Linked DNA regions of Tamandua tetradactyla. The protein of the gene in region 1 purifies or fractionates together with the protein of each later gene. This does not show direct contact. Links are inferred from orthologs where the notes say so. Each region holds a gene or a part of one and is shown in the gene's direction. Other genes may lie near its edges. The genes, in order: NPM1, RPS20, RPLP1 and TOP2A.

Region 1 (7,567 bases):
TGTTATTCTGAAAAAAGGTAAGGGGAAAGACAACGATTTTCCTGCCTACTGTTTTCAGGGTAACCAATTAGTTGACAACCTTCATAAAAGAATTTCAGATAATAAATGCAGAGGGAGTGACAGAATTAGAAATAATGGATTGAAGCAACAATCCACTAAAACTCTTAACTGAAAGATGAGTGGTGAATGGTGAGTTGATAAAGGAAGAATCAGGTCAACACCACCTGATTGAACTTAACATTACAAAACAGAGACACACCAGACAATACGTGTCTCCTAATGCAACAGGAAGTATTCTTGCCAATAAGTCTAGAAGCCTCTAGATCAGCACCGCCTAGTAGAACTTTCTGTGATGATGGAAATGTTTTGGTGTGCTATCCAATACCATAGTCATGATCCACATGTGGCTATTGAATACTTGGCTAGCGAGACTGAGGAATTGAATTTTTTTCCCCTTAAACTTATTTTGAAATAATTTAAACTTGCAAGAGTTTTACAAAATCCATATAGAGAACTCCAACACTCCACCCCCACTGATACCCAGACCTCCAATTTTAACATTTGCCACACCTGCTGTAGCAGTCTGTCTATCCAGCTACCAAATTTTCCAAACACGTGAGAGTAATTTGCATACACCATGCTCCTTGAACACATAAGACTTCCACGCGCATTTCCTAAGAACAAGGACATTCACATGTAACCACCTTAAGTACAGTTATCAAGTTCAAGAACTTTAACACTGATATAAAATTACAGTTTATATTCCAATTCCAACTTTTTTTTTTAATAGGTCCTCGTACTGTTTTTTTGGGACTTTTCTCCTCCACTATTAAATCCAGTCCTGGCTTATGTATTGCATTTAATCGTCATCATCTCTTTAGTTGCCCTTTATTTAAAATTATGGAAACAAACGTACATAAACTTTCCTATCCCAACAACTTCCAAGTATATCATTCAGTGGAATTAATCACATAAACAACGTTGTGCTACCCTCACCATCATCTATTACCAGAATTCTCTCATCACTCCAAACAGAAACCCTGCACCCATACGCAGTAACTCCCCACTCTTCCTCTCACAGGTACTCTACTTTCTATCTCTATTCATACTCCAGCTATTTCACATAAGTAGAATCTTAAAATATCTATTCCTCCGTGTCTGACTTACTCCACTAAACATGATGTTTTTAAGGTTCATACATGTAGTGTTATTTTATCAGAACTTCATTCCTTTCTAAGGCTGAGTAATATTCCATTGTTTATGTATACCCCATTTTGTTTATCCATCCATCTGGGAATGGACACATGGGTTGCTCCTACCTCCTGGCTATTCTGAATAACTCTGCTATAACCATTGGTGAACGTTTATCTGAGTTCTTGCTTTCAATTCTTTGGGGTATATAACTAGAAGTGGGATTGCTGGGTCATATAGTAGCTCTGTTTTTTTTGAGGAACTGCAAAACTGTTTCCTACACTGGCTGCACCATCTTACATTCTAACCAACCATGTACAAGGGTTTCTATTTTTCTGTCTCCTCGACAGCACTTATTATTTTCCATTTAAAAAATAATAATAGCCATTCTACGAGGAGAATGAGGACAGTGAGGAGGTAGGATGTGAATTATGTTAAATTTAAATAGCCACATGTAATTAGTGGCTACAGCATCAGACAGTGCAGCTCAAGATCTACCTACTAACTTTCAGAAAATTCAGGGATAACGGGACATGTTAAAGGAAACATCTCAGTATAATGTATAGATCTTGCTTGGATCCTTATTCAAACAAACTGGAAAAGACAATTGTGGACATTTAAACTAGGTAATTCATAATGTTAGGAATTAGTTAAAATTTTTATTTGAATCACAATGGTATTATGTTCAGATTTTAAAGATTGTTCTTATCTCTCAAAGAAAGGTACTGAGATATTTCTAGATGAACTGATAAATGTCTTGGACTTTCTTTAAAGAGGCCGATGGAGGTGGAAGGGGAAGGAGAAGGTATATGTGAAACAAGATTCTGTATGTTGAAGTTAGATGATGGGTAAATGGATTTTTACCATAGCATTATTTCTGTTTTTATGTATTTGAATATTTCCATCATAAATGTGTTAAAAATGAAGGAATAAATAAAACCTGGAATTTTAAAAATAGGACGTATGTTCATCCTATGGAATACTATGAAACTCATAAAAAAATAATACAGTTGGACTCTATTATATAATGGAAAGATAGCTAAGCCACACGAAGTGAAGGGACAAAGTTGCAGAACAATATACAAATACATGAAGTGTGAATCTATTCATGTCAACAATAAAAAGATGTATTTATATGTACATATGTTCATAAGTAATACCTGCCTTTCTACCGTAAGTTCTTTTTTAGCATATATTCTACACAAGTATTTTTAGATATCCATAATGATATATACATAAAGATTTTTACTAAGACATTATTTTTTAGAGCAAAATTATGGAGACAAACTCAATGCCCCTCAGTGGAGGAATGGACAGTTAAATTATAACACAGCCATATTATGAACTAATGTGGATAAATGTCCAAAATATATTTTTGACTATAGAAAGTTGAATAAGATGTGAATTACCCAGAATTTCAGAAAGAAACAAACAAAATGTAACTATATAGTCTGCCCCCTCCTTCTTTCTCTCCCTCTCTAAAACATATAAAGTTAGCTGGAAGGATACTCACACAATTAACAGTGGTTATTCTAAGATGGAAAGAGAGCCACTTGTAATTTTTCACTTTGTACAGGCCTATACCACTCTATTTTAAAAGACAATGAGCATTATTACATTTGTAAATCTGAAAAATGCAGTAAGTGGGTTTTCTAACTGCTTAACTCCATGAGATCATATCCAGACTAGATGCCTAAAACATTAGAAACAACAAATGTATTTATTTTCATGAGCCACAGCTCCTACCTGGTTCAGGCTCTGTACAAGTTTGCATTAAAATGATAATGACCCTGAAATCAGAAAGAAATTGCAAAGTAATTTCAACCTTTATTCGAGTGGATCAAAAAACAGTAACACCTCCTCCTTCACTCTCTTATAGCTCATCTTCACTTTTTCATTCTAAATGAACTCTCCTCAATCTGATCCTCCTGTTTCTCTACCTTTCCTAGTCCTTTACATACATATTCTTTCAAGTTTCAGTATTTTCTCTAGCAATTAGGCCATATTCTGCATCTCAAAAGATCCAAGAACAAAGACTCTTGTTAGGATTGGGGGTAAAGTGGGGAACAACTTGGCCCCTTCCACATATTGGTCTTATCTGATTTGTCTTTTTGCATAAGGATTCTCTAAATTTAGGATCTGGATTCTGTTCATTAATAATTGGTTTATTTATATTATAGCTGACCTTCCTAACTAGATTATATTTGTAGAAAAGGGAGTGGGGGCATCAATATCACTATTTTCAGTTCCCACAGTATTTCCTAAATTTATTGTTTGATCTGGTGAGGTAAAAATTAAACTAGGGGACCCTAACTTGTCAAGGTGTTGTGTAAGATGCTTATTTTCAAGCTCATTCTCAAAGATTCTAATTAAAGTTTACGCAGTCGTATAAGTCATACGCCTTCGCTCTAGAGGCATGCTGAAGATTAAGAACTGCATTATCTCAGGGTGGATCCTCAAAAGCTTTTTAAGAATGATGTAGCATTCATTGGGTTGCCCTGGAGCTAGAGAATCAATTAGTTCCCTGTCTCACTTTCTCCGTTTGGCAAGTTATTTCATACCTCTCGGCCCGTATTCTGGTGTGCATAATGGGGACAGTCACATATACTTCACAAGGCCTTGTATGGACATACTGTGCATACACAGTCCTTTAAAAAGCTTCTTTGAAAAAAATCAGGCACGTATGGTCCCTTGCCCTGCGCGGTGGAGAGGGATGACAGTCCCATTTGGCCCCAGAAGCGAAAGGACAACTATAAAGACGTAAGTGAGTTAAGTTCGGCTAGTAGCTAATTCTTTTCTTCCCAGCGCAATGCAACAGAAAAGTTGTAGTTCACTCTGTCTCTGGCAGCTTTAGCTTTTCTAACTTTGGGGAAACAATGAACTCCGAACTCAGGCCTTCAGGCAAGTAAAAAATCCTGGAGCGTGCCTGTTTGGAGACCTCCGGGGCACGAGGGGACGAAGAAAGGAAAACCGAGCGGCTCTCTGAACACTTACAAACAGGATCAACCTCCTACCTAAAAGAGCTCTGGGGGCTGCCGTCGCCATTTTGCAGGGTGGGCTGCGTAGGATCTGGGCGTGCGACCCGTGCGACTAGCGGAGCGGACGTGGACGGGTTGGAGGTGGAGGCGCCCGGCAAGGGAAACGCGTGCGCACAGAAGAGGGCGACGGAAGGGTGGGGCCAGGGTAAGAGTGCGCGTGCTCGGTGGAAGCCCGCGAAGTACCTGGAGGAGGTAGGGGTGAGGTAAAAAGAAGATGGGATAAAGAGCGCTTGCGCGGGAGGTCGACTGCAAAAGGAGGGGGCTCCCAAGCACGCGCGCGGAGGCGGGACTTGGAGGATCTCGCGAGATATACAGGGATCTATATAAATGCGCGGGGGAGCGCGCGTCCTTTCCCTGGTGTGAGTCCGTCCTGCGCGACTGTTCTTTGCAACAGTGGTTGTCTATCTCCGTCCGTCTTCTCACCTGTTTAAGTGCTTGCCACCACCCCATGGAAGATTCGATGGACATGGACATGAGCCCCCTGAGGCCCCAGAACTATCTTTTCGGTAACTGCTGGAGGTTTGGAGCGAGGTCGAGCAGGGCCTGGTGGCTTTGAGGTGGGGGTGGGGAGAATGGGTAATGGAGATCTTACTGAGGCTTGGGCTGGTGGAGGAAGCTAAGCGTGCTGGAGGCCCGAGGGAGGGAGGGGCGCAGTGGGAGCCCAGGAACCTGAGGGATGGGGAGCGAGGAAGGCCGATGCCGGAGCTTGGGAAAGCCTGCGGCAGGAAGTGGGGGAATGGGAGCGGCCTGAAGCCTGGGGCCTGAGGCCTAGTGCGTGAGGGCGAGGTAGAACCGGGTGAAGGTTTGGCTTTGCCTTGGTATGCGGTAGAGCTCCGGCTTTTTCTTTGTCGAGACACGTGGGAGTTGGTATGTCTTTGATTCTAGGCCAGTATGTTTGCTGCTGGATCCCCAGGTATTGGTCCAGAAGGTCGTGTGGGCTCTTGGGGAGGCCTGAGCCTATTTTTCTGCAGAAGAGAATAGCTATAGGCTGGAGTTAGAGGCTTCGCCAGGTTTCCGGATCTCAGCGTCCAGGGCTGTATTACTGACTCTCGGTCTTGGTCTCTTGGCCGGTTGTAAGGGGGAGGGGAGGCACAGCGGGATGAGAGGAGGCCGCAACCGCTGGCAGCACGTGGTTGCCACGTGGTTGGGGGAAGGAGGAGGCGCGGGCTATACATCCGGGGCCTCCTAGTGTATGTCAACCCGGAGCCAGGGATCTTGTTGTGGCTTAATTGGAGTTGTTGGGCGGGAAACGTTAGGTGAAGTGATTGGTAGCGCTAGGGTTCTGGAGATCTTTGTGCAGTTCTTTGCACATACAGTAGTGGTAGTAATCTTCTATAGGGCTTTTTTCTGTGTCACTGCGTTAATGGTCTTAGCCCCATTTTGCAGATGACGATACTGATGTTCAGAAGTTAAGTGGCTTAAGAATTTACTTGTAGGAAATGGATGCTAGAGCCTATCCGAGACTTTGTTGCTCTGTCGGTGCTGTGTAAATAGGGTAACGAGGCTTTTTTTGTTTTCTTTTGTCTTTGGTGGGTTGGGGATGGCGGAGGCAGCCCTCTGGCAAGGGATAACCCTACTCAGCCCGCTTTTGCCTCCCACCATATGTAAGTACTGAAGGAGAGGCCTGCTTTGGTTTTCAGTCTCAGGAGGCTTATTAACTGAAAGCTTTTCCTTGTGGGCAGTCAGGCCATATCCAGGGTTTTTAACCTTGGAGTAAGTGCAAATATCGCCCCAAATTTGATTTCTTTATTTGCTGTTCTAAGACTTATTTATTGGGCAATAATATTCAAGCATGCACATCCGGTTAACTGTTACAGTGCTTATTAAATAGAATTATTTGAATTAACTCTGTTATGACAGTATTAAAACAATTTTCCCATTCCTATATGAAATGTATCTAGCATTTTAGACATTCAGCACGTTAAGGCATTACTTCTAAGTTGCTAACCAGTTTATATAAAAATATTTGTTCCTTTTATTGGAAACACCACTGGAGTATATCTTGTGCTTTAGAAGTGATTACTGAATTACTAATGTACAACACCTTCTGTTAACTTAAAGGTAATCGGAAGGCCCTTGTAACAAGGTTTGTTTGTTGGTGTTTGAGTAGGCTTCTCCCCCATTTCTAATTTGCTGCTTTTGGGGGGCAGTTTAGACAGATAATATAACTTTAAAATAGTGGGAGATTATCAACTTTGTACATTAAGTTTGGCCTCATAATGGTTAAGTAAATCTTTGAGCTGAGTTCTAGCAGCAGAATGGTTATAGTGCCTGTCTCATGTAGTGGAGAATGAGTTGGGGAAATGGAAAAGTAGAATTTATAAAGCCCTGTATGGATTTTATTTGACGTTTATAGAATTCTGTATTCAAAAAATCTGAGAAGAGATCATTTTGTCTTGCTCTCTGGAAGCTAGAATAGTAAAGTGAAAAACAAGTTTGCAAGTTATCAAAATGGTAAAGGTAATTTCAGTTTCAGTTTTCGCTCATGTTGGTTACTTTTTTCTTCATTACAGGTTGTGAATTAAAGGCTGACAAAGATTATCACTTTAAGGTGGATAATGATGAAAATGAGCACCAGTTATCTTTAAGAACGGTACTTAAAATTTCAAAATAAACTACTTAACCTTTCTTGATTTCACCCTTTTGGATCCTGTTTATCTGGCTTATGACTTTCACTGTTTTCCTGACTGCTGATAACAGCATCTTTATGATTAGTTGTTATAAGTACTGGATAATATATACACCTGTGATACAGACAGTACTGGGCATCTTTACCACTCTTCATATAGTCACATCACTTTTTAGCTTTCCTTATTTATATACTTTGCTTCATCAGTTGTGTTATAAAGCCCTCTTGTCAGTTATAATCATTTATTCCTCACTGAGACCAACCTAGCATTCAATTTGTAGTAGGTGCTCTACTGTATTTGTTAAGCTATCCATGCCATGTTTATGCATTTCTTCAAATTCGCTGAATATGAGAACTTGTGCACACGAAAACTGTAACACTTAAATTGTGCATAAATTGAAGATTAGTTTTCCATCAATGGTGATAATGAAAGGTTTATAGTTTTTTAAAAACTTTACACATTTGGGGGCAGATTGTAAAATAGCGGAAGCTTGAGGATGAGGGACTATTTTTTGTTCACAGGTCAGTTTAGGGGCTGGTGCAAAGGATGAATTGCACATTGTTGAAGCAGAGGCAATGAATTATGAAGGCAGTCCAATTAAAGTAACACTGGCAACTTTGAAAATGTCCGTACAGCCAACGGTAAGAGCACTTAAATCATACTGTGTTGAAGTAGTATAATGAGGTTTAAATCAAGAAGATGGGGAAA
Region 2 (6,012 bases), on another chromosome or scaffold:
TGGATGGATGGATGGATGGACAGATAGATGGATGGATAGAGAGAGGTAGGTGATAGATAGATAGATGATAGATAGATAGATAGATGATAGATAGATAGATAGATAATAGAAAGAATGATCAGGCAGAATGTTAAAAGGTGATGGATCTGAGTATCTAGGGAGACGGCATATGTTGGAATTCTCTGTATGGGTTTTATGCTATTATTGCAACTGTCTTGTACATTTGAAATTATTTCAAAATAAACATTTTTTAAAAATAGGGATTCTACCTTATAATGGATATATATAGTATCTACTTTATAATGGACACATAGTCAATAACAAAATATTTCTGATTTCAACTAAATTGAAATATGTAAAGCTTTCCTATGTCAGGGTGTATAACAAAATGATTTTACATCTGCTCCTACAGTGCCACTACAAATGACAAGGCTCAGTGCCACATATACTGAAAGAGAGGTTAGCACTTGGTTAGGAGTGCAGACGTTAGATTGTGAGCACTCAAATCCTGGCTTTTCCTGTGACCATGGGCCAGTTACCTAACCTTTCAGGGCCTCAGCTTCCTCAGAAATAAAATATGAATAATGGTCCTTATCTCCCAAGGTTAACGTGCAGATCAAAAGAATTGATATTAATACAAGTGGAGCACTTCACACTGTATCAGCCATTACTTTATGAAGAGACCTGTTCTGTTCTAAAAACTTATACATGTAATCCTCGGAAACAGGAAGTAATTTCCTTCATATTCCACTCCCTTATCAAATATAACATAGAAGAGTAACTAGAAGAGAAAGTTTTAACTCGCTCTGGTTACATTCTTAAATTCCAGGCTAAAGAGATTTAACATTAAAAAGAATACTTTATTTAGATAAAAAATTTTGCAAATAGAATGTTATCTAAACTTCTCTGCCACATTCATTTGACAATTTACCTTTACTGTTTTATTCATAAATATATATATATATATTTGTACTATGAATTAAGTAGTCTCTAATGCTGCATGTTTACTTCTGGTATTAGTTGGATGACACTGTTATTGCAGCAAAAAACCAGTAGATGGCTGTCCACAGATTCACACAAATACTTTCAGCTGCAATGACAGTAAAAGATCATTTTAAAAACTACAAAACTTAGTAGAGAAAGGCAATGGACAGGGATGTTGAAAACACAAATTTTGTAACTGTCACGATATTTTAAAATTCTGAAATGAAACAGATAGGTAGTTCTATTTTTTTTCAAGCTAAAACTTGTTTTATGCTGCTGGAGGAAGTCCCTATTTTGGTACAACCTTCCCAGAGGGCAACTTAATTGAACATACCAAAATATTTAATACATGCCTGTTCTTTGATTAAAGCATCTGAAAAGAAGAACATCTAGAATGAGCTAAGGCATTAAGGATGTGCCAAAAGGTTCACCTACAATCGTGGTTCTCAGCTGGGGTGGGGTGATTTCTCCCCAGACATTTGGCAAGATCTGGAAATACTTTTGTTTGTATAACTTGGGAGCAGGGTAGGTAGGATGCTTCTGACATGTAGTGAGCAGAAGCCAGGAATGCTGCTAAGCATCCTAAAACGTACAGGACGGCCCCCACAGCAAGAATTATCTGCTCAAAAACAGCAATAGTGTTGCAAGTGAAAAACCTGATGTACCTTATACAACCTCATGGTATAATTTATAGAAAAGAAAAATGGGCAAACAAACCTCAGTGTCTAAAATTACAGGACTGGTCCAATAAATGAATGAAACAGCTATACATGTCACAATTAGGCAGTCATTAAAAGGGATGTTGCAAATGTGTATTTATTGTGACCAAATAATATTCTGAGAATAAAGCAGGTTACCATACCGTACAGAGTATAAGCCTTTTTTGATTTTTAAAGAGATTTATACATACCTGAAAGTGTAAACAGTGGTTATCTCTGGATGGGTGGAATTGAGTATTTTCTTCCTTTTTGCTTATTGTTAAGCAAAACCTTTTTCTCCAATGAACATCTCAAATCCAAAATCAGAATAATACATTTTAAATGGACATTTTCGAGTCACAGCAGCTCCTAGCTTCCAAGAGAAAATACAACAAAATATTTTAAACTAAAATTTGTAAACTTTAAAATTAATGACCTTTTCATTAAGTTTGTCTAATATTATCTTAACCAGCTATTTCCTTAATTCCAACCACATCAGCAATTTCTTTTACCACACATGCTGGATCATATTTTACCTTTTTTCTATGGCCATAGGACGATAACATGATTACCATTTCCTCAAGGATTTAAAGAGTGAGGCAGGCCAAAGAACAGACCTAGATCTACTAGATTTGTTATTGGAAAAAAAAAAAATCACAAATGTACTTCCAATCCTGTCTCCCGTCCCCCAACACACACACTTCTCTGAATTTCTGATTGTCCTTTGAGGCTTAAATAAAACCAGAAAGTTGCTTTATGCTTTCTCTGCAGTTGTCCATTCACCTTCAGTACTAACATAAGTTCCTTGGTGGCTGACCACATTTAGGGAGCTAGGCAAATGTATTTTTACCTTTTGGTTGCAGATAGCCACACCAATAAATTAAAACTAAGTTATTATGTCTCATCTTAGTTTCAGCAAGTAAAACAAGAATGCAGGTTTCTATTTTCCGCTGCATATTCTTCTAATAGAGTATACAGTCCATGGGTTACATTTCAAGATAACTGAACTGAAAAATATCCCATCATTAACATTTAAATTTATTGCAAAATGGCAGCAAAACCGAATGTATTTTCCTTGTGAGATAAAGCTATTAGTCATGCCTAATTATCTCTTCATAAGTAAGCCAATGCTATTCCTTGTTTGAAATTTCAAGCATAATCTCTCAAAGGAACAGAACTTCCGGAAGAGGGAGAGGGAGAGGGGCGTCAGAGCTTTGTCACACCGCAGCTCTTTATGTTTGAATCACAGAACTCTTCTGTGCTTACCTGTAAAATAATATGGGGTTATTTATTCTCCCATTAGCTCTGGACCAAATCCCATCTCGCCGATCCCGTTCTCTTGAACCACCCCTGTTTCTCAAATATAAGTGTGCTCATTAGGAGCTAGGTTGACCATTGTTGGCTTTTCCACTGTATCTGTCCCTATTTGATTATAAACACACGCTCAATGTTAAGCAGATTTTAAAGGCTCCTAAATAATATTACTTTATCCGAACAGAGAGGAAATACCATTAGAATCAGGCGGACAGCCTGGATCTGCGGGCTGGACCTCCAGATATACAGCCCGCTGTCGGAGCAGCCTGACAGGTGCACTCTCACCTGCCCGGGAATAGGTGTAGATACTTCTACCGGCGTGGAAAGCCAGAAGCTGAAATTCCACGATAAGTTATTTCAGGCTATGCAAATATCCCCGACTAATCTTAATAGTAACATGCCAAGTTATCGGTCGATTTTCCCAATACCCACGTGAATTCAATGCAGTAGTTACCCACTTGCTCAGATAACAGTGATTCTGTATGCGAAGCAAAATTTGCACTGCAAAACCCACAGGGAGCTTCTCAACTTTAAGGGGCTGGGGTAGGGGAGCACCAGCCAGAGCTGTTTCTGCGGCGTCAGGGCAGGTTGCCCTCCAGCCTGTCACCTCCGCTAGGCGCCCGAGCGGCTCGCACCACTGAGACTGCGCAGACCAGCACATGCGTTCTGCTTGTCCCTCGCCTCGAGGCACCGACTCCGCCTGTAAGACAGGGGGCGCGCGCGGCCGCACCTTTCCCGCCAACTCCGCGGGGCGGCCTCTAGAGCCCTCGGGGCAGTTCCTGTTCCGGGGCAGGCGCCGGAGAGGCATGTGGGACCCGGATGCAGACGCGTGCGCCGCTATATAAGCATCGCGCAGGCCTCGCGCATCCTTTTCGAAGAAAGCGCGGTCTGTGCGTTCCAGGCGTTTCGGCTCTCTGCTCCTCCTGACTCACCGCTGTTCGCTCTCGCGGAGGAACAAGTCGGTCAGGAAGCCGCGCCGCAGCCATGGTGAGTGCTGGGACTACTCATCTACTCTGGGGCAGATGCTATGGGAGGTTGATGGAGGGGCTTCCGCAAAGGGGTTTGTCGCGGTGGTAGAGGAACCTGGCTGGGAAGGCTCGTGAAGCCTATTTCTAGAATTTAGAAATCTCGGGAGTGCTTAATATTTTCTTATCACCCATGTAATTGACAGGCTTTTAAGGACACCGGAAAGACACCTGTGGAACCCGAGGTGGCGATTCATCGCATTAGAATCACCCTGACCAGCCGCAACGTGAAGTCTCTGGAGAAGGGTTAGTGCGGTGGTTCAGGCTGAGGCTTTTGCAAGCTGAGAGCAGTGCGTCTGTCAGTTTGCTGTGTGAGGTTGATTCCGAGAGGTACAGCCGCAAGTGCTTACAGTAGTTCAAGCTATTTGTCGGCCTGTGTTTTATATAATGCCATAACTTTGTTACATTTAAAGTTGGCCGTGAGGAGAAATCTACGTTTTGAATTATGGTGATAGTTATGTACGCTATTCTGAGCCAGCATCCTCAAAATTGTTTCAATATATTTTAATTGTGCCGAATGGACTTACAGGTAACTTTTTATATCCCCATAGTGTGTGCTGACTTGATAAGAGGTGCAAAGGAAAAAAACCTCAAGGTGAAGGGACCTGTTCGGATGCCTACCAAGGTAAACTACAGCATGGGGGCAGGAAGTAGGAGTTGACTTCTATTGCCTATGTCCAAATTCTTCTCTTTAATATTTGGCTCCCCAAAACACAAGCCAAGTAAAGAATGCTGGTAATTTGGTTCGTATTAAGTACATAATGTTTAGAGATGACTTGCTGTTTTTTTATAGTGGTGTGGTGTTTAAAAGGTGTAGAGAGTTATGTCCTAGAGGAGTGAAAATGGACTTACTATTACAAATTGATGGTACCTGAAGACCTGTTTACATAGAAGAATGTGGTACCTAGGGAATTTTCTCAAATGAAATACCTGAGGATTTTTTTTTTTTTTTTTTTTTTTTTTTTTTTTTTTTAGAGAGGGAGGAAGGGAAGGAAAGACAGAGAAGGAAGGAAGGATGGAAGGGAGGAAGAAAGGGAAACATCTTAAACATTTTCTTATTTTTTATTATATATTTTTGTTTGTTTGTTTTTTTACATGGGCTGGGGCCGGGAATCGAACCGGGGTCCTCCGGCATGGCAGGCAAGCACTCTTGCCCGCTGAGCCACCGCGGCCCGCCCATACCTGAGGATTTTAATGCAGTAATTATACAGATATCCTGTGTATAGATATGTAACCACAAATGCTGTTTTTCTTGTTTACAGACTCTAAGAATCACTACAAGGAAAACTCCTTGTGGTGAAGGTTCAAAGACTTGGGACCGTTTCCAGATGAGAATCCACAAGCGACTCATTGATTTGCACAGTCCTTCTGAGATTGTTAAGCAGATTACTTCTATCAGTATTGAACCAGGAGTAGAAGTTGAAGTCACCATTGCAGATGCTTAAGTCAGCTATTTTTAATAAACTGTTTGTCAGTTGCTAAGCTTGTTGAGTTTTATTCAAAATACCAACAGATTTAGGAATATACAGATGGGCTGTGAAATGTAGTCAACTTTTCAAGAAGTAGCCATCCTGTGGCGCGTTACTATGTTTATTGTATTTCCTAAAGGCCATTAAACCATTTTATTAATAACTTTTGATCAAATTATATGAGACAGCAGAAAATTATTTAGTATGTAAGGCCTTATCATAATGCATTGGTTCTTCAAGTATTTTGTGTATGATCCTTGGAAATGCTGCTTCATATACACAGGTCTCTTCCACCTCAAAAAGAGATTGTTAGCTTTATCACTGAAAAAACATGTCCTAAGACCACAGTTTACCTTAATGAATTTATTGGATACGATGGTGTAGGTTAACCTGGCCCAAAGCCTGTTCTTTAGCGTAGTTGTGATTTAAACAGGTTTGGCAGCCTGAGAACCATTGTTCCCCTTCGGGGTTTTTCAAATTTTCGTTTGAAATGTGAGGTAACACTCGACAAATGTGTGCCGG
Region 3 (7,078 bases), on another chromosome or scaffold:
CTGGTTTCTTCCTTTGACCTGTCTCTTATATCTTTGCTATGTAACTAGTTAGTTTTTTGCATATTGTTTTGTAGGACTTCTTTATATAATCCTTTGGGTATTTTGGGTCCTAAATTTTCTCCCAATTTGTGAGGTCTTTTCACTTTTTATAGTATTTTCTTTTTAAATAAACTTTTTAGAATCCATCAGAATTTACAGTAAAATTATGATGACAGTACAGATTTCCCATGCCCTATACCTAATTTCCCCATTACATCTTCTATTAGTATTAGTATGTTTAATTTTTCCAGTTAATGAACCAATATTAATGCATTCTTATTAAATTAAGTCCATACTTTATATTCAGATTTCCTTACTTCTTGTTTAATGACTTTTTCTGTTCCAATATACCAAATTACATTTAGTCTTAGGCTAAATGTAATTTCTCCTTCGGCTCCTCTTGGCTGGGACAATTTCTGAGACTTTGGTTTTGGTATCTTTTGTTTTACACTTTTAAATTTTGATGCAACTTTTATGTTTGTGTATGAAGAAATTTTTCCATACCCTAATGTCTTAATATTCTCCTCTATTTCTTCTAAAATTTGTTTTGCTTTCACATTATGTGTGCTGTGAGGGAGGAATTAAAGACATTTTTCTCACCAGCCCCCATTTGGATAGGAACCCAGTGCCATTTTTTTTTCTTTTGTATGCTATATGACAGGGATCACATTTCATTTTTTTCCCATGTGAGTATCCCCTTATTGCAGCACCATTTGCTGAATTTTTATTTGCTTTTTTCTTTGTTTATTTGTTTGGGAAGTGCATGGGTCAGGAATTGAACCCGGGTCTCCGGCATGGCAGGAGAGAATTCTACCATTGAGCAACCCTTGCACTGCCATCCCCTACCCTCACCCAGTACTATTCTTATTGAAAAGAGCATCCCTTCCTCTGGATTATATAACCATGTTCACAAATGTATCAGAGTATATTTTTAGGTTCTCTGTTCTATTTTTCTATTTGCATGATAACACTACACTGCATTATGTATTTTTTGGGTGCTTTCTATGTGCCAGGAACTATTAGGCACAAGGAATACAGTGGCAAACTAAAGTTGGTGCCCTCATGGAATCTAAAATCTGTTATTACTTTTAAAGTCAGGTTGTCAAATTCCATTAAAAATTCTAATGAAATTTTTGTGGAAATTACATAATTTAGATAGAATTGCCTGCTTTCAAGATATTGAATCTTCCCATCTGTGAACATGGCATATCGGTTTGTAATTCGGTTGCCTTTTATATTATTCCATAAAGTTTTATAATTAAAAACATAAGTCATGTACATATTGTTAGATTTATTCCTAGAAACCATGTAGTTTTTGTTTCTATTGTATGAGGTATATTTTTGAGAAAATATTGCATTTTCTAATACACTGTTGCTGAGGAAAGGAATGCTGATTTTTGTAGCTTAATATCAGCAACCTTGGCAAATTACTTATTACTTTGAATTGTTTATAAGTTCTGTTGGAATTTCTGGATAGATAATCATATCTATAAATAATGTGAGTTCATACCTTTCCAATTTTAATTTCTTTGTGGAGTAGCTAACATCTCTAAAATAGGAATTGAATAGAAGCAGAGAAAGGAGACATTCTTGTCTGCTACTCATTTTAAGAGAATGCTTCTCAAATTTCATTATTAGGTATGATATTTGCTGTTGATTTTTGGTAGATAGCCTTTATCAGGATATGGAGGGTGACTTCTATGCCAGTTTTCTAAGAGTATTTGAACAGTGGTTCAAATTTTATCAGGGGTTTGGTCTTTCTGAATCTATTAAGACTTTCATATAGATTTTCCTCTTTAAATCTGGTAATGTAATGAACAATTTTTAGTAGTTTTATAGATGAACTATCCTGTTTAGTTGTAATATATATTTTTATATACATTTCTGGATTCAGTTTATTAATATTTTATTTTCAACGTTTTTGTCTACATTTTGCATTTAGGTATAATTTTTATCTTTCTCATTGTTTAAGGTTCTTTTGTTACTATGGCTATAAAATTAAGGGAACAAAATATTAATTTGATCTAAAAATTTTCTTCATATAGTTTAGACAATTTTAAAAAAATCTGTGTTGAACAGTTTTATCTGCTTGATCAGTTTTTAAGTATAATGGTGGGGGAATAATGTTTTGGACTGATTTGTTCTGGCTTTGTAAATGACTGGACTTTTCAATAGCTTTACCTTTCTCCACCAAAACACCACAATAATTCCTTCCTAGATTTGGGTGAAAACTCAAAATGATAGCTTATTTTGAAAAGCCTTATAGCTTTTAAAACTATTTTAAATAAGCGATATTAAAATCTGTTTACATTTATGTCTAAGATTGGCCCAAGTGGGAGGCCAAGGTAGGGGATTCCGATGAAAATTTTGGTCATGGATGATTATGAGATAATAGCACTAATTGAATAAAGCAGATTCCCTAAAAAATTTGACCCATTTTTCCATGAAACTAGGTAAATTCCAAGAGGAAACTAGTCTATGAAATGTGAAGATTACCATTTTTGAAGATAGGAGTTAAAATTGGGTTTCAGACCTTACCATCAGAGAATCTCTTGATACTGTGTCAAACTTTAGGGACACCCAAATCAATAGGCCATGCCCTCAATCCTATATCTTACTTAGGATACTTAATCCATAAGCTTACTCGTGAATCTTATGTAGGTAGCAGAGAAGCTTAGACTACCTATAGGCATGCCTAAGAATTACTTCTGGAGGACCTCTTTTGTTGCTCAGATGTGGCCTCACTCTCTCTAAGCCCAACTCTGCTTGTGAAATCACTGCCCTCCCTCCTACATAGGACATGACATCCAAGGGTGAAAGTCTCCCTGGCAATGTGGGAGATGACTCCCAGGGATGAATCTGGCCCTGGCTCCTTGGGATCAACAATTCCATCCTGACCAAAAGGGGGAAAACAAGTGTAATAAAGCATCAGTGGCAAAGAGAGTTCAAATAGAGTTCAGAGACTACTCTGGAGGTTGCTCTTATGCAAGCTTCAGTTAGACTTTGCTACCTATCATAACCTGCCAACCCCCAACCAGGACCATTCCAACAGATTCTAAAGAACACCTAGGGCTATATATAAGATTTCACAAGGGTTCCATGCACTAGAGAAACTTTCAAGAAACTTACAACCTCTAGATAGGTCCCAGTCCAGATATGTCCTGAAACATAGAGGGCCCAGCCTCTCCAGAACATCAGATAGTTCCATCTCCCTACCTCATATTAGTGGCAGACCTTTCCAATATGAAAAAGCTAGACTAGCCATAGCTCAAGCACCCTGAAAGAGAGGGACAGAAAGATCGGGGATGGTGGAGTTATACAGGGAAGATAGCATTTAACAAATGAATATGAATGCTGAATCATTAAACTGATATCTCTTTTAGTCTCCAGTATCTCAGACAGCTAGAAGTAAAAACCTAAAATTGTGGAATTGTAACATAACCCATGTCAAACTCTGAAACATATTCTACAACTAATTGTGGTGCTGTGCTTTGAAATTTATTGTTTTGTATGTATGTTATTTTTCACATACAAAAATGAATTAAAGTCAATTGTGATGATAAAATATTTAAGCCTTCTAGCCTCCTATATATTCTGGAGCAGCTAGAAGGAAAAATCTGAGTGGAAAAATCGTATGATAGCCCATGACAAACTCTGGAATCTGTCCTGTAACTACTTGTTGAAGAGTGCTTTGAAAACTATTGCTTTTTCATTTCTTTGCTTTGTATATATGTTATACTATACTAATAAAAATGTTTAAAAAATTAGGTTTCGGATCATATAGTAAATAATGCATGCCAGTTGTCGAATATTTGAAATACCAAAACAGAGAAGACAAAATTTATCTACAATTCTCAAAACCCAGCCAGTCCTCACCAACACACTGAAATTAGGCTTCTAGATTCTAAACCCAACCTCCATAGCGCAGTAACTGATCTTGGGCTGGTTACCTGGACCGTGCCTTCGCAAAACGGAAGAAATAGAAACCACACGACTCCTTCAACAGTATGGTTCACTTGCCTGGGACATTGTAGGCGCTCAACTGCTACTGCCAGGACAACGCTCAGTTTCTCCTCTATTTACTTATATTGGAGGCACTGCGCTAAGCATGGGGGCCCTAAATTGTAACTGTAGTTCCTGCCCTCTGAGAGGTCACCGCCTGCTACCGGAGGCTGGAGGCGTAAATATTATTTAGTGTCATAAGGTATACATACAATGGAGGTGAAATCCATTTACCTAGGTAACCTTCTCCTAAAAATATTTTTAATGTTCAAGAGCTGTTTTTTTTTTCTCCTCCACCAAAATCAACGGACACAGCTTTCCTATGCGCTTAGCAACTTTCGGAAATCGCAACGAAGTGTTAATAGTAGCGCGCAGGCGCCGTAAGCCCGTCTTCCGCCGCGGCACTTGCCTCGCCTCTTCCGCCAGACGCCGGCGCCGATTGGCCCGCGTGTTACGTATAAGATGCTGTGCGCAGGCGCGGGGCTCTCTTTCCTCAGCTGCCGTCAAGGTGCTCGGTTCTTCCGAGGAAGCTAAGGCCGCGTTGGGGTGAGGCCCTCACTTCATCCGGCGACTAGCACCGCGCCCGGCAGCCGTCTACCCAGCACCCGTCCGCATCATGGCCTCTGTCTCCGAGCTCGCGTGCATCTACTCGGCACTCATACTCCACGACGATGAAGTTACAGTCACGGTGAGTGCGGGCGCAGGTCAGCGGCGTGTGCGGCCTGTCCACTGCCCAACCCGCTCGCCGCCCTCGAGTCCTCCAGCGGGTCGGGCCTGGCTCTTCCGGCCACAGCCGCAGTGGTGGACAGCCCAGGCGTTTTCGGACCGGGGCGGAAGCCCCTCGGGTGGGCCCAGAAGCTGGGAGCTGTGGACTGCAGACCACGTGTCGACGGCCGGAGGGTTGCGCCTGCGGTTGTCTTTGGCTGTGAAAACCTTGATAAATGTATCCTTAGAGCGTGAGCATCCCAGTCCGTACCTTATTTTATGATTGAGTATGCCTTCATGAAATGCAGATAAAGATATTTAACTGGGTAAATGGCTTTGTACGCACGTTTTGAGTGACTTGCTTTTAATTTGCAGTATTTTGGAGACATTCAGGTAAGCTACACTTTTCCTCTTTGATGGATTGGCATTTTATTTGTTTTAGGAGGATAAGATCAATGCCCTCATTAAAGCCGCTGGTGTAAACGTTGAGCCTTTTTGGCCTGGCTTATTTGCAAAGGTAAGGTGATTTGTGGCAGACTTGGGAAGACGTGTCTGCTAGCTTATCCGGGGGAGTGTTCACACTTAAGGTGCCTCGTATTTCACTGCATTTATGTTTGGATGATGTTAAGGCTTCAGTTTGTTAGGCTTTGTGTGGCTTCAATATAAGCCTGATCTAATGGAAATTGAGTCCGATGATTTTATGTTGACCACTTGCTGTATCTTGGGGATGTGAAAATGAAGTCAGGGCCCCTGCCAACGAAATTTTGGCATTGGCTACCAGCCATCGTACCGGTTACTTAATATGTGGCAAATGAAGCTATTAATAGCTTTAACATGTTAGGTTGTAGCTTCTGAAGGGCTTCGAAAATTTGAAAATATTATCTATGTTATTAATGAATTCCTTTGGAAAAAAATCCTAGATTTTTTGGAAAGTGTGGGATCAAATTTAGTGTTGATGTCGAAAACAAAAACCAATTTTTAAGAAATCAGAAAAGGTGGATTCTGAAACTACCATCAAGTTTTTGGGAGGACCAGTTTCCTCATTTATAGAGGGTATTCAATTAGTTGGACATTACTACTTAAATCAACAACATAAATGTGAGCTCTGAATCTGGATAGTTTTGTGACTACTTTTTTACTTTTTATTTTTAAGAGATAAAACTCTTAATTGCGGCAGTCCTCAACTTTCTAACCCACACCCCCACTCTTTCCCATTATTTAAAATATATTATTATAGACTGTCCTATCTAATGAGTCCTAAGTTATTGCCAGTGAAGTCAGTCTTGATGAAAAAGCAAACCAAAAGTTTGATGTCACTGGCATGGGGGTGACTCCAACAGAGGAAAAGTGTTGGGAACTGAACATATCAGGGCTGGCTGAGAGGAACAACTGAGCATTTACCTGTGTCTGCACATGTGTTGCAGGCCCTGGCCAATGTCAACATCGGGAGTCTCATTTGCAATGTTGGGGCTGGTGGACCTGCACCAGCAGCAGGTGCTGCGCCAGCCGGAGGTCCTGCTCCCTCCACCGCTGCTGCTCCAGGTAGGAAACTTAAGTTTTTGTATGGAAGGAAATTAAAGTTCTATAGGTGGACGGTGTATGAAACGCTAAACCTGAGGCATGGTTGGGTGGTGCTGAGGGAATTCTAGTGGTTATTTTTGGCCAAAATAATGAGAGATGTGATTTTTACACTTCTCACTTTTTTTTTTTTAGCTGAGGAGAAGAAAGTGGAAGCAAAGAAAGAAGAATCTGAGGAATCTGATGATGACATGGGTTTTGGTCTTTTTGACTAAGTCCCTTTTGTAATGTTCAATAAAATGTTGAACCCTTTGCTGCTGTTGGTCTTGCCAGTAGTTTGGGGATTTGGTCTACATAGGTGGTCAGTCTTAACTTTTTTTGCAAGTGTATTTCAACCTTTTCTATTCTAATGCCCTGGCACATGAGGTGGATTTTTTCCCTTCCACCACTCCAGGTAGGAAGTCTTAAATAACCTGGACACTTAATGTGCCTAATAATAACCTTGAGGACTACTCTAGGGGTGGGGGAGGATGGATCAGTGCTGCCTTACCCAAACTAACTGTAAATTTGTGATTACAGAATTTATTCCCTGGTCTGTGCCTAAACAGTGTTCTCTTTTATTTAATGTACCTTATTGCTAATTATAAAGCTGCTCCCCATCCCACCATCACTCCAGGAAGAATACAGGAGAAACCAGCCATTCCTGTAATCTATAGTCGCTGCCTGGACATCCTTGGTATTCCTTGATGGTGGGGTAAAGACAGTACATTTAGAAAGCACCATGAATAATTTCCACGTACAGCCCTAAGAACTT
Region 4 (6,877 bases), on another chromosome or scaffold:
TGTTGAGCATCCTTGCAGATACTTTTTTGGCCATTAGAATATGTTCTTTAGAGAAATATCTATTCAAATCCTTGGTCGTTTTTTTTAGTTCTTTAGTTGTAGGAGCTCTTTATATCTACCTATTCTTCTTCTTCTTTTTTTTTTTTTAATATGGAACGCTTCACGAATTTGCGTGTCATCCTTGAGCAGGGGCCATGCTAATCTTCTCTGTATCATTCCAATTTTAGTATATGTGCTGCCGAAGCGAGCACTCTACCTATTATTCTTCATCTCACTTTTTAAAAACTTAACAATAAATATATGGTGATATTTGAGTATCAGTACATCTGGATCTACTTCATTCTTTTTAATAACTGCATATCATTCCATAATTTGAACATTTCACTATTTAATCATTCCCCCATTGATAGGCACTTAGATTGCTGCCAGTTCTTTTCTATTAAAAACAATATTGAAATAACCTTGTGTATATATCTTTGCACAGTTATGGGAATGCATCAGTAGAGTAAATTCCGAGGAGTCAAATTGTCCTATCAAGGGTGTGTACATTTTAAATTTTTTGATAGATACAGCACTGCCGGACCAGAGGGAAACCTCCCAGTAGATTTTCTGGGACTGAACTCTAGTCCTGTGCTACTCCTCTCTCACAGTTTTGAATATCTTTTGCTCTCTTCCCAACTCCATCTGGTGGCCCACAATGTCCCCTTGCCTGGAGCCACAAATTTGAGGGGCAAGACTCACAGCTGCCATCAGCAGGTAAAAGATACTGAGTTCTATGGGACATTTCAGACTTTTCTCACCTCCTTCAACCAAAGACTGTTATCCCGAGTAAAGAGGTCAGACCGGAACCTGCCAGTCATCAACCTCAAGGTAAACAAAGCTTGTTGACCCAGCCTTAGCCACCCAAGTACCCTGGAGCTGGCCCAGCCTCATCCAGGAATTCCCAGTGGGCTCCAGCCTAGCCAAATCCATCTACCAAATCCAGAGCCACACTTTCAGTCCAGCCCCTCTGCTTTGTCAGCCAGCAAGTAGGAAGCACACTGCCCTTTCTGGGAGAGCAACTGGACCAAAGAAGGAGACACAACCCCTGCCTTCAAGGCATCCACTCTCCCAGCCACTGAAAGGGGAGACAGGAAACACCCACCACCCAGTTGAATAGTTGTAGGAGTATTACAACTCCTTGTTGTTATTTGTAGGTTGTTATTCTTAACAACCTAAGAATACTTACAAAGGGAATGCATCCGCATATGCAAATGTACTCCTAAAGACTTGAAGAAGTCTTGATAAAATAGAGAAAACTCCCTGGAGGGGAGATATTTTGAACTAGTTTTGGAGGAAGGGACACCTGGGACTGACAGGAGAGAGATGGTCTTTTGAGGTGATAACTGCTGACATATTTCGAGCTCTTACTGTCTGTCAGGCAATGCACTAAGCATTTTACATGTGTTATCTCACTCTATGAGGAGGTACTCTCATTATCCTCATTTTAGATGAAGAAATGAAGACACGGAGAATGGCTGAATGTCATACATTCATCAAGTACTGTAGTCAGGAGACCGACTCAAGTACTCCACCACACCCATAGGGCTAGAGGAGAAATGGGGGCTATGTCAGGGTAGCTAGTTTGGGTCCCAGCAGAGTATGGGGGAGGATATGAGGATGGTGCCTGTCCCCTCCCCTACCATCGCCTCCTAGAACTAACTCCCACCTAGAGCTGACTCCCACCGCCTTCTTGCTTTCTAGGGCCAAAAGGAAACCCCCTTTTTATGGGCAAGGCCTCCCAAGGCCTATACATCCCAGACTCCCATCTACTCTTTCAAGAGCTTCCTTGTAGGTTCTGGGAAAGGGGAGGGGCTGGCAGAGAAACAAATTTGGCCAGAAGAGAAGGGAAAGGGATGGAGAAGAGAGCAGCTCTGACCAGACTACACAATGCTTAAAAGCAGGAGGAGATTTGTCCTCGCTGTTTGCATTTCACTTGGCCCTCTGTACCATTGACGAAGGATAATAATATGGGGAAACTGAGGCCAAGGGAGAATTCTGACTCAGGTGTGTGTGACTCCAAAACCCTTTTTTATATTATCGTGGTAAAATATATATAAAATAAAATTTCCCATTGTGGCCATTTTTAAGTGTAACATTCAGTGTCATTAATTATATTCACAATGTTGTGCTACCATCATCAGTATGTTTCCAAAATTTTTATTACCCAAAACAGAAACACTGTATCCATTAAGCAATAATTCCAATTGCCCTTCCCCTGCCCCGAGTACTAGTAACCTCTAGTCAACTTTTTGTCCCTATGAATTTGCTTATTCTAGATATTTCACATAAATGGAACCATACAATATTGTCCTTTTGTGTCTGACATTTCAATTTGTATAACGTTTTCAGGGTCCATCATGCTCTTGCATGAATCAGAACTTCATTCCTTTTTATGGTTGAATAATATAATACTAGGACTCGGCAGAAGCCACTGTAGGGACTTCTCTCAATGGAAAAGCCAAAGGAATTTCATTCTTGCTTCATCCTACTTCCACCCTTGTTTCCTGACATATTATACATATTCCCCTCCTCACCAGTCTTCCCTTGGGCTTTGCCAGCAGTGGGCACAGGGCATGCTGGAGTTATTTCACAACCTCTGGTTTCCTATAGAAGAAAAGGGGAATTAAATCCACAAATTGCATTACCCGTCTAAGGAAAATTCCTGCTTTCTGATTCTGATATCCTTAGCCTCCTATTCTAAATGCCTCCGCTCATCTCATATAACCAATCTTCACAGAACTGAGGGAATACCATTATTATCGACAATTTTTAGTAGAGGAAACTGAAGCACCACAAAACTTGGCAAATTAAGGAGCCAGGACTGAAACCCATGCAGAATATAGGAGTAGTGATTGGGAAGGGGGTGTTTCAGAGAGAATTAGCAATCAAATTATGTTACTTTTTTCTATCATCTCCTTTTTCTTTTGTCTTCTTAACATTGTGGATTGACAAGTATAAATCCACTCGAACATTTATACCTCAGAGTAATAAACTAAAAAGATTGTCAATTTGGCGTTTCCTCACCAAACGTGAACAGTTATTCTGGATTGCAGAATTCAGAATTTAACACTGAAGAGAGCAAAAGGAACAAGTATTCAGGCATCCCCGGGCAGTCTGAGTGAAAAGATTTGAACATATCTCGCTGCAAAACTGGCAAAACCTTGAAGCGGCAACTATAAACTATTCCTTTTATCAGTTGCAGTCCATAGCTGCTGAATGTTATACTGTTTTGTATGACCTCTCTACATCCTACTATACGAAAACTAAAAACTACAGCTATATCACAAATCGTTTCTTTGGAAATAAATTCTTCGGGAAGGCAAGTTAGATAGGCGCCGGACCCTCTTCGCTTAGCCAACTCTCTAAGGCTGTGTCCTGAAAGCTGGCGCTCAGTTTCCTCAGGAAGGTGGAGCTGAAACTCCTATTCCTTTCACTAACTACCTCAGGAGGTTTTCAGATTGCAGAGACTAGAAATAGGTTAGTGGTTCCAGAGAAATAAATATCCTCTCTACCCTCTTCACTTTCTCCTGGCAGCTTGCACCTCAGGTTTTAACCCCTTGCCGCTTCCACAGGAACTCTCTTCAGTGTTTTCCTCACAGAAAGAACGACCCCAACTCACTGGCCACATCCCCCGTCTGTCTCCCCGCTTCTACGCCTAGTGGTGCCTTTCGAAAACGCTTTAGACCCGCCTCCTTTGCCTAATTGGTTCATTCGAACAGGCTCTGGCCAACTCGGCCGTTTATAGGTGGTTTAGATGTGGACAGAGGTGATTGGTTCTTCTGGACGGCGTCGGAGAAAGCGAGTCAGGGATTGGCTTATCTGGCTTAGGCGGGCTAGAGGAGGTTCAAAGGGGAGTAGGCGAGCGCGCGTAACCGACGGCTTCTGAAGAGAAGTGGCCTGGTCTCCGGTCGTTTCGCGGCTGACGCCCGTTTAGTCACGTTCAGGGTCCTCGAGCCCCTTCACGACTGTCACCATGGAGGTGTCACCATTGCAGGTACGGCTCGCGGAAGGGCCCGGGTCGTGGAGCCTCAGCGTATCGGGGCATCCCCCCGGCTGCCGGTGAGGGGTGAGGGCTCCTGGGCGCCCGCGCCGCTTCGGAACTCCTCCACGGGCTGAGGGCCCGTATTCCCTGGACTCTGGGTGATCGTGAATGAGGTGAAACCCCTTCTTGGTGCTAACATTGAAGTATTATCGGCTAGACTGCAGTCAGGGTGTTGGTTTTGTTTTACTGTCTCTAGGGGCGGGATTCAGTTCGTTCTGTGGTAAATCTGCGTTACGTGGGCTGTGTGTGGCTTTAGTAGCACATGCTTTCCCCTCCTCCCCTCTGGGAAGAGTGCGGTTGAATGTCGCTGATCTCGGAAAGTGCAGCGCCTGGCTCAGCGTTCCCGCTGGAGTTGCTGGCAGACCCGAGTTGCTCAAAAAATGACCTTCCTGTGCTCAAAACGTGAACGCGGCCAGATGATTCAGTTGATGTCATCTCTCACACTCTGCTGCTGCAGAGCTAGAATCTGTTTATGTGCTTGGAATATAGTAGGCACTTGGTAAATAATTGTGGACTAGATGGACAAAGTGGTGTTTTTATCGATACCATCTAGAGCCGTGATCAAGGAAAATGTTTTCATGTCAGATACACTTGGTGAGATAATATGTCTATTTAAAAATGACACTTGAGTGCTAAGCTGCAGTTTACCTTGTCATCTTTGTACAAAACTATGTACATTTCACCAATACCTACCAAAAGACTGCAATTTGTTATTGTGTTGTTTAAGCATATCATTATGGCAGACATTAGTTTCTGATACATCTATGATTTAAAAGCCCTTTTCTTTAAAAAAAAATGCTTTTCTTCTGTTTTTTTTTGCTAGCCTGTAAATGAAAATATGCAAATCAGCAAAATTAAAAAAAATGAAGATGCTAAGAAAAGACTGTCTGTTGAAAGAATCTATCAAAAGAAAACACAACTGGAACATATTTTGCTCCGCCCAGACACTTACATTGGCTCTGTGGAATTAGTGACCCAGGTAAAACATGCTAATTAAGTGCAATTACTTATCCGTTAAAATATGTACTTTTCCTCTTATGTTCCAGCATCGCTGGAACTGGCCTAAGTGATTACATATGTACTATAGTATTTAATCCAGAATACTTTATAGTAATCGTGATGATAAACAAGAATATAAAGTAAAAGTAACTATACTTCTTTGCCTTATTTCTAGCAAATGTGGGTTTTCGATGAAGATGTTGGCATTAACTTTAGGGAGGTCACTTTTGTTCCTGGTTTGTACAAAATCTTTGATGAGATTCTAGGTGAGTAAATTCTTTTCATATGAAGATCTACAGGTCAAACCCTTCATAAGAAGTATCATTCCTTACCAGATCCTCTGTAGCCAGAGGTTCTATCATTTCAAACAACAGTTGGTGACGGTGGGGTAGTCTCTGGAGTCCAGGAAACTGAGTTCTTTCCTAGAAGCAGTGCTTTGAACAAAAATTTTCTAAATGAAAAACCTTGTTAATGCTATTGCTGTGCTGTCTGGGAAATTTTTTTCCTAAATCTTTGAATTAATGTTCTAAAAAGTACTTCAATTTCTTACAAATATGTTGTTGTTTTTTTCAGTCAATGCTGCGGACAACAAGCAAAGGGATCCCAAGATGTCTTGTATTAGAGTCACAATTGACCCGTATGTCTTTTGCTTAGCCTTTTGTTCGTAATATCTTGTTGTTGTCGTTATTCTTAGCTACATTTACTTTGATATTAGTGAAGTTGACCTTTTTTTTTTTTTACGGAAGTTTACAAAACCTACAGAAACGCAAACCACTAAAATGAACAACCCTTATGGTACCTACTACATAGATCAAACGGTTACTGACATTTTGTCATATTTTTTCCATCTATAAATATTGTTTAATGAATTCAAAATAAATTTACTAACATTATGACACTTAAGCCCTAAATAACTTCAGCAAGCATCTCCAATCAAGAATTAGCCTAAAATATTTTGGCGTCTGGAATTTTTAGCATTTTCACATAATGCTATTCAAATAGTAAGCCAGCAGGTGGTGGTAGAGAATAATATAAGACTTTTTTTACGGTATTGTTAAATACTATTTCGAATTAGAACCATAATGTATGCCCAGTTATAGCTAAAATGTCTGAGAATTAACCTAAAATGATAACTAAGAGATAAGTTCAAATAAACTTGCAGCATTTTGTTCGTCAGCTGGACAGTTTATAATTGAGCATGTTTTTGCCTTTTGTATTTGCTTTGTGACAAACTTTTTTTTCCATTTGTGGGTGGGAAAGCTAAGAGAACTAGGGGAGTGCACATGATCCTCTCAAAAGCAGTAAAATGATAGTTTCCAGATTTTGTCTTTTTCTTTCCATTTGACATAAATCATTTCCCTCTGTTTATGCTAACATTTGAAAATTTCCTATTTTTCCAACATTATCAGTGTCTGCCCAGATGTTGGAAAATGTTGTTTTGTTATTGCTGTTATTATTATTGTTTTATCTTCCTCTTGGCATTATAGACACTCCTATTTCAGCATTGTGGGAAAGATAGTTCATGCAGAATTTCAGAAGGCATATATAAAAAAAGAGTCGAAAGAAATTTAGACTTGTGAATTTATATATTTTAGAAATAATATCAATATTTAAATATTTAAAATGTTACACATTAGTTTAACCTTTATTTTACAATAGAATTTTCAATCTTCTCTCCTTAGGGAAAACAACTTAATTAGTATATGGAATAACGGAAAAGGTATTCCTGTTGTTGAACACAAAGTCGAAAAGGTGTACGTCCCAGCTCTCATCTTTGGACAGCTCCTGACTTCT

What was found.
Region 2: the proteins of NPM1 (region 1) and RPS20 purify together in Homo sapiens (affinity purification with mass spectrometry; 3 studies listed by BioGRID and IntAct, with this or other methods). This does not show direct contact. The link is inferred for Tamandua tetradactyla from reciprocal best matches to the Homo sapiens genes NPM1 and RPS20.
Region 3: the proteins of NPM1 (region 1) and RPLP1 purify together in Homo sapiens (affinity purification with mass spectrometry; 3 studies listed by BioGRID and IntAct, with this or other methods). This does not show direct contact. The link is inferred for Tamandua tetradactyla from reciprocal best matches to the Homo sapiens genes NPM1 and RPLP1.
Region 4: the proteins of NPM1 (region 1) and TOP2A purify together in Homo sapiens (co-immunoprecipitation; 3 studies listed by BioGRID and IntAct, with this or other methods). This does not show direct contact. The link is inferred for Tamandua tetradactyla from reciprocal best matches to the Homo sapiens genes NPM1 and TOP2A.

Annotation. Positions count from the first base shown.
Region 1 is NC_135346.1:52,611,373-52,618,939, forward strand, and holds the start of NPM1 (nucleophosmin), read left to right. Parts: upstream 1-4,555; 5' UTR 4,556-4,677; coding exon 4,678-4,735; intron 4,736-6,742; coding exon 6,743-6,822; intron 6,823-7,380; coding exon 7,381-7,500; intron 7,501-7,567. UniProt on the Homo sapiens protein: Involved in diverse cellular processes such as ribosome biogenesis, centrosome duplication, protein chaperoning, histone assembly, cell proliferation, and regulation of tumor suppressors p53/TP53 and ARF.
Region 2 is NC_135332.1:99,698,374-99,704,385, reverse strand, and holds RPS20 (small ribosomal subunit protein uS10), read left to right. Parts: upstream 1-3,840; 5' UTR 3,841-3,980; coding exon 3,981-3,983; intron 3,984-4,167; coding exon 4,168-4,267; intron 4,268-4,435; exon of another isoform or gene 4,436-4,501; intron 4,502-4,572; coding exon 4,573-4,646; intron 4,647-5,283; coding exon 5,284-5,466; 3' UTR 5,467-5,503; downstream 5,504-6,012. UniProt on the Homo sapiens protein: Component of the small ribosomal subunit. The ribosome is a large ribonucleoprotein complex responsible for the synthesis of proteins in the cell.
Region 3 is NC_135338.1:73,086,518-73,093,595, reverse strand, and holds RPLP1 (large ribosomal subunit protein P1), read left to right. Parts: upstream 1-4,508; 5' UTR 4,509-4,657; coding exon 4,658-4,729; intron 4,730-5,188; coding exon 5,189-5,263; intron 5,264-6,170; coding exon 6,171-6,288; intron 6,289-6,459; coding exon 6,460-6,539; 3' UTR 6,540-6,576; downstream 6,577-7,078. UniProt on the Homo sapiens protein: Plays an important role in the elongation step of protein synthesis.
Region 4 is NC_135332.1:26,941,994-26,948,870, forward strand, and holds the start of TOP2A (DNA topoisomerase 2-alpha), read left to right. Parts: upstream 1-3,871; 5' UTR 3,872-4,015; coding exon 4,016-4,036; intron 4,037-4,055; exon of another isoform or gene 4,056-4,197; intron 4,198-4,907; coding exon 4,908-5,063; intron 5,064-5,258; coding exon 5,259-5,349; intron 5,350-5,656; coding exon 5,657-5,720; intron 5,721-6,765; coding exon 6,766-6,877. UniProt on the Homo sapiens protein: Key decatenating enzyme that alters DNA topology by binding to two double-stranded DNA molecules, generating a double-stranded break in one of the strands, passing the intact strand through the broken strand, and religating the broken strand.